Linked DNA regions of Saccharomyces cerevisiae S288C. The gene in region 2 interacts genetically with the main gene of each other region. Each region holds a gene or a part of one and is shown on either strand. Other genes may lie near its edges.

The links. A genetic interaction does not mean that the proteins touch.
Region 1: of GPP1 (region 2) and WSC3, extra expression of one rescues a mutant of the other (dosage rescue), as found in Saccharomyces cerevisiae (one study listed by BioGRID).

What each region holds. Positions count from the first base shown.
Region 1 is NC_001147.6:113,845-117,607, reverse strand, and holds WSC3 (Wsc3p), read left to right. Parts: upstream 1-1,799; coding exon 1,800-3,470; downstream 3,471-3,763. Other genes in the region: NDJ1 (Ndj1p), read left to right, coding at 154-1,212.
Region 2 is NC_001141.2:253,374-256,399, forward strand, and holds GPP1 (glycerol-1-phosphatase GPP1), read left to right. Parts: upstream 1-1,741; coding exon 1,742-2,494; downstream 2,495-3,026. Other genes in the region: YIL055C (uncharacterized protein), read right to left, coding at 1-552; YIL054W (uncharacterized protein), read left to right, coding at 1,170-1,487; 60S ribosomal protein eL34 RPL34B, read right to left, coding at 2,853-3,026. UniProt on the Saccharomyces cerevisiae protein: Major isoform of glycerol-1-phosphate phosphohydrolase involved in glycerol biosynthesis. Plays a role in osmoadaptation and required for adaptation to anaerobic conditions.

The DNA.
Region 1 (3,763 bases), on a different chromosome or scaffold from region 2:
TAATAGTTACAAATGGAAGATATATATCCGTTTCGTACTCAGTGACGTACCGGGCGTAGAAGTTGGGCGGCTATTTTGACAGATATATCAAAAATATTGTCATGAACTATACCATATACAACTTAGGATAAAAATACAGGTAGAAAAACTATAATGAGTAAGGATAATAGGTTAGCAAGTATTTTGCTGCAGCCTGTAGCATCATCCTCTGGAAATTGTACTGAATTCCATGACTCAAAGTTGCATACTCTGCAAGAGGAACTTAATTTCTTGCCACTAGAAGGAGTTGCGTCGAATGTTTGCCCGCCGATGTTTAGAGGTCATAAGAACTACGTGTTTGTGTTATATTGTTTGAATCAAGTCGATCTCGTTACGAATTTGCAGGATTCTACAAAACGTTACTACCCACTGCAAATATTTAAAGATTGTCAATTGAGTTCTTTGGTTCAGAAGGATTTTTCACACTATTTCCAACTCAGCAGGCAAAAGGAAGGGGAAGATCGGAACGATAGTGATACCACCTTGGTTAATGTCGTCAATTCTGGAGTATCCCGCCATAGAAGTCAATTACTAAAGATGTGTATTATACCTAGAATTTGTTCCTTTGACAAATCCAACTCCAAAACCTACAAGCTAATTCAGGAATATGTTAATCGCTTTGAAACCGTTTTAACAAAATTTGGCCCAGAAAAAGATTTCACCAAAGTTTACGCTAACTGGTCAAAACTCATTGAGTCGTTTAATGAGCTTATTTTACATGACCTGTTGGTGAAATGGCAACAATGGTCTGAATTAACTCAGCCAAATGCCACGGTCCATCAGAACATTCCGAATGTTCTCAGGGAACTCGTAATAAAATTAACACAAAGGTACTTTACATTCCAACCTTCATACAGTTGTTCGATTGATGAATTCACAACAATTTTACTTAATAAAAATGCTTTGAGTCTCTTGGACGTTTTCAGAAAACCCAGAAAATATAAACTGAATTTTGGTTTATGGCTAGATTGTCAAAACGGTATTTTAATTTTTACAAATGGTATTGTGCAGATGGCAGATGAAATTACAAGTGAGAGGGTGAAATCCTTTGTCAGGCCAGCACATCTCTTGGTATTGGAAGACCATTCAAATGATGAAGCAGTCAAGAAACTAATGTTTTTCACTTTTTCAGCGATATTACAATGCTTTACAGATGAGATTCTGAATTGTTAAAACGGGCTATCCATATTACATCTGAACCAAAAAAAACTTTTCTTTGCTGTTTACTTTAAATCTTGCTTAATGTGAAGATTTTTTTCTGTTTGCCCTTTCACTAGGAGATTTTTAACCTAATTTTACCAGCCGATTCGTTAGTAGGAATGCATTTTTCCAAAATCAGGAATTTTTACGTCATCCCGCTCTCCTTTGAGATCCGGGCAAACTTCTTATTTTAGCCACTCGAGAATTTTTTTCTTTATTATAAAAAAAGTAATTATGCCTCCGCACTAATCTTAAAAAGCTTTTTAACGTAAGTGGTATACTGCAGACCAGGACCATTGTTTTACTTCATTGCCTGAAATAGTATCTAGGTTAGATATTGATTTTTCTTACACTTCAATAAAACAATTGCATTCGTTATACATTTTTTTCTTTCCAAACATTTGCTATAAAAAATTTTTTGATCCCTCGCCATACTAATTTTCTATTGTTCCTCGAAATTAGTGATAATCCTCGAGAAATATTTGGTGAGCTATTTTCTTTGTGCATTATATGAAATTCATGTCCGTATAGTTTGTTTTTTTAGCAGAAGACAATATAAAATGGAAAGAGTATGGTTTGCAAAATTAACAAATAAAGGAACTATTAAAATCGGGTATATCTCATTTATACTTCTAAGTTTGCTATGTCAATCTCTGATTGGGCTGGTTAATGCTGATTTTAATTATGAAGGCTGTTACAGTGCCGCGGATATCCAGTCTGCTGGACTGTCTCTGAAAAACTCATACATATATCAATCAGTGTCATACTGTCAAAACCAGTGCCCTGAGTCAGCAGTAGTAGCATTATTTAACGGGTCAGATTGTTACTGCGGTAATTCGGTAAGTTTTCTGACTTCTTTGACGAAATCAACAGATTCAAACTGTGGAACTAAATGCTCTGGCTGGCCTTACCAAATGTGTGGAGGGTCATCGTACATGAACGTGTATGTAAATGCTGAAACTTTTGTTTCATCGGTTGAATCTTCCTCTTCCAAAGAAGGGTCTAGCACTTCCTATATGCCCTCAACAACTTCTTCATTGTCCTCCGCCCAAATTTCTTCAACTACTAGGAGAACGTCAACAGATATGAAAAGTTCTGAAATGATAGCCACGACAGTTTCTACCACTTCAACAACCTCTTCCTCGACTTCCTCTACTACCTCTTCTACCACCTCTTCTACCACCTCTTCTACCACCTCTTCTACTACCTCTTCCTCGACTTCCTCTACTACCTCTTCTACCACCTCTTCTACCACCTCTTCTACCACCTCTTCTACCACCTCTTCTACTACCTCTTCTACTACCTCCTCTACTACCTCCTCTACTACCTCTATCTTTTCTGTTACGTCTAGCTCCTCATCCATTACATTGTCCTCATCTGAGCATACCACAGTCGATAGCCGTACTTCTTCACCCTCTTCCACCTTGGTGCCAGTGTCCTCGAGTAGCAGCACACTATCAACTCCAAAAGTGACCTCAATGACCCCTAGTACGTCATCAACGATACCAATAGTTACCTCAGTGGAACTAGTGACTAGTGTGGTTACAAAAGCGATCGTGAGTACTTCTGATCAACATCAGGAAACAATATTTGTTACGAGGACATCCGTGGTTGAACGATCTTCTGAGGTAGCTACTGCTACTGCTGCCGCCTCAAATAATAGATCTAATTCGACTTCGAAGCAGCGTCTGAGTGGTGGAGCCATTGCCGGTATTGTTATTGGTGTTGTGTTTGGCGTAATTTTTATTATTTTGATTCTATTGTTCCTGATATGGAGGAGACGGAAATCGCACGACCAATTAGACTTGGAGGAAACGAAACATTATCAGCCCTATTCGTTCGGTGATGAGGATGCAAATCCAATAGGACCGCCTCCCTCCTCTGGTACGACAAATTGGATGAGACATTCAAGGGGTAATACAGCGGGTTCTATCGGTACAAGTAATATGTATGGTTTTTCTATGAGTAATGGTGCAAATTATAGTAGTCCTAGTTCAAACACCAGTGGAAGCATCATAAACAACTTGGCTGGCTTACAAGATGCTACGGTTCAGAAACAGAACCTTCCATCGACAGTTTTTGAAGAGGCAAATACTTTGAATAGTGCAAATGAAAGGTTCAGTGCCAATTCTTTACCCGACATGATGATGAGCGGACCATTGCAAGTGGTAAACCCTGATAATCCTGATAATCCTGAATTATCTAGTACCGTATCTCATAATCGAGCCTGAAAAACTCGCATAAACTCTCAACATTAATGGTAATCAACTGGTTCTGCTGGACGGAGCCATTCTAAATCATTAACTTTATAATATCATGTTTTATACCCTAATATTTAAACAATTTACTGCTTTTGGCACTTCAACTGTTAGAAAAAGAACAATAATATTTAGTATTTAGTTTCATTTTTAAATTTTCTGATTCACTTCATTTGCAGCTTCTAATGATGTTTGTGGTACAAAAATATAAACAATTTTAAAATATTAAAAAAAAATGCTTCCAATCGGATTTGAACCGATGATCT
Region 2 (3,026 bases):
GGTAGAAGCGGATGGTGGCTGCGGTGTCACAGATGAAACATGGCTTGCATATCGAGGAGAAATAGATCTTTTAGTTTCATCGGGAGCACTCCGGACGTCATTGTTGCTATCACTGATTTCTGGATATCGCAGTGAAGGAGAATCATTAGTGTACGGCAACAGGTAAACGAACAGATCATGATAATCCCATTGGTAGGTGTTCAAAGTAAGTAGTAAGTTTTCCAGGGACTCGTTATCTATCGAGTTCTTCAGAATGACAATGCAACTCTGAAAAGTAATAAAAGGAGGAACCATGGAAGTCATTGGAGGCAGCATTTTCACCTGTAAAATATTGGTATGGTATATGATTCCGCCTATCAAATATTTTACCTGGGCCCAAGTCTTGCCCGGAGGGAGATTATCAATCCTTATGGGAATACCATTTGACTGCGAGTACGTCTTTTTCCTAGGAGCAGCTTTTGTGCTTGCTGTTGAGCTTTCGGTCGCAGAACGGGCAACAAAGGCACTGGCTGAAGCAGCCGACTTGGCACTATAGTGTGGTTCTAGAGTCATTATAAAGCAAGCGTATTGTAAGGAGAGACAGCAAACTCTCGTGTATCAGCCAACTGAACTGGAGGCCAAGACCAATCTAAAAAAAAAAAAAAATGAAAGAAACAAGTGTGGGAGGAAGTCTTGTTAACTTAACAGTTAAGCAAGCGTAAAAACCTTTAGGAAAGCGCACGAAAGAAGGCCAACATTACGACTATGGAATAATACAATGCACACAAACAAAAGGTAACATTTGAAAAATGGAGTAGAGAATATATTCCATTCCCCTAATTTTTTGCGGGTCTTCCAGGGCTGCGAACCCATCGCTCAAAACAAGCGCAGTGTCAATTAAGACATCATTGAACTAAAACGGAAAATTTGCTTGCGCCACACACCCTGGTCAATCGTACCAAGGGATATCACTCTGTACGGGTGGGAGGAAGGCGCGGCAATTAGAATGTGTGGGTGCGGAAGCTCGCCGCTCCCATCAAGAGAGTGGAAGACGTATGGTCTGGGTGCGAAGTACCACCACGTTTCTTTTTCATCTCTTAAGTGGGATTCTTACGAAACACGTCACAGGGTCAAAAGAAAGAGAACAAAAGCAATATTGTAATTGTCTCAGTCCACGGCAATGACATGGCATGGCCCCGAAGGCTTTTTTTGTCTGTCTTCCTTGGGTCTTACCCCGCCACGCGTTAATAGTGAGACAAGCAGGAAATCCGTATCATTTTCTCGCATACACGAACCCGCGTGCGCCTGGTAAATTGCAGGATTCTCATTGTCCGGTTTTCTTTATGGGAATAATCATCATCACCATTATCACTGTTACTCTTGCGATCATCATCATTAACATAATTTTTTTAACGCTGTTTGATGATGGTATGTGCTTTTATTGTTCCTTACTCACCTTTTCCTTTGTGTCTTTTAATTTTGACCATTTTGACCATTTTGACCTTTGATGATGTGTGAGTTCCTCTTTTCTTTTTTTCTTTTCTTTTTTCCTTTTTTTTTCTTTTCTTACTCTGTTAATCACTTTCTTTCCTTTTTGTTCATATTGTCGTCTTGTTCATTTTCGTTCAATTGATAATGTATATAAATCTTTCGTAAGTATCTCTTGATTGCCATTTTTTTCTTTCCAAGTTTCCTTGTTATGAAACGTTTCAATGTTTTAAAATATATCAGAACAACAAAAGCAAATATACAAACCATCGCAATGCCTTTGACCACAAAACCTTTATCTTTGAAAATCAACGCCGCTCTATTCGATGTTGACGGTACCATCATCATCTCTCAACCAGCCATTGCTGCTTTCTGGAGAGATTTCGGTAAAGACAAGCCTTACTTCGATGCCGAACACGTTATTCACATCTCTCACGGTTGGAGAACTTACGATGCCATTGCCAAGTTCGCTCCAGACTTTGCTGATGAAGAATACGTTAACAAGCTAGAAGGTGAAATCCCAGAAAAGTACGGTGAACACTCCATCGAAGTTCCAGGTGCTGTCAAGTTGTGTAATGCTTTGAACGCCTTGCCAAAGGAAAAATGGGCTGTCGCCACCTCTGGTACCCGTGACATGGCCAAGAAATGGTTCGACATTTTGAAGATCAAGAGACCAGAATACTTCATCACCGCCAATGATGTCAAGCAAGGTAAGCCTCACCCAGAACCATACTTAAAGGGTAGAAACGGTTTGGGTTTCCCAATTAATGAACAAGACCCATCCAAATCTAAGGTTGTTGTCTTTGAAGACGCACCAGCTGGTATTGCTGCTGGTAAGGCTGCTGGCTGTAAAATCGTTGGTATTGCTACCACTTTCGATTTGGACTTCTTGAAGGAAAAGGGTTGTGACATCATTGTCAAGAACCACGAATCTATCAGAGTCGGTGAATACAACGCTGAAACCGATGAAGTCGAATTGATCTTTGATGACTACTTATACGCTAAGGATGACTTGTTGAAATGGTAATTTTCTTTTATTTTTTTGATAAAACTACTACGCTAAAAATAAAATAAAAATGTATGATTTCCCTCCATTTCCGACCAATTGTATAATTTTATATCTGCATGACTTAATAATATAATATAATACTTATAAAATACGAATAGAAAAATTTAAACCGATGTAATGCATCCTTTTCTTTGTCGTCTTCGGATGATCTGCCGTGACAGGTGGTTCGCGCAAATCAAGCTGGTTTAGAGAATTTAACACAGAAATAAAAAAGGAAGATTCAATCTTCGTTTTTGTTTTATATCTTACTATAAAAGTGTTTTTTTTTAGTACGACGAGAAGTTAGAGTAATTATAAAAGGAATGCTTATTTAAATTTATTTCTTAGACTTCTTTTCAGACTTCTTAGCAGCCTCAGTTTGTTCCTTAACGACCTTCTTAACAATCTTTTGTTCTTCAATCAAGAAAGCTCTGACGATTCTTTCCTTGACACAGTTGGCACATCTGGAACCACCGTAAGCTCTGGAAACAGTCTTGTGGGTCTTGGAGAC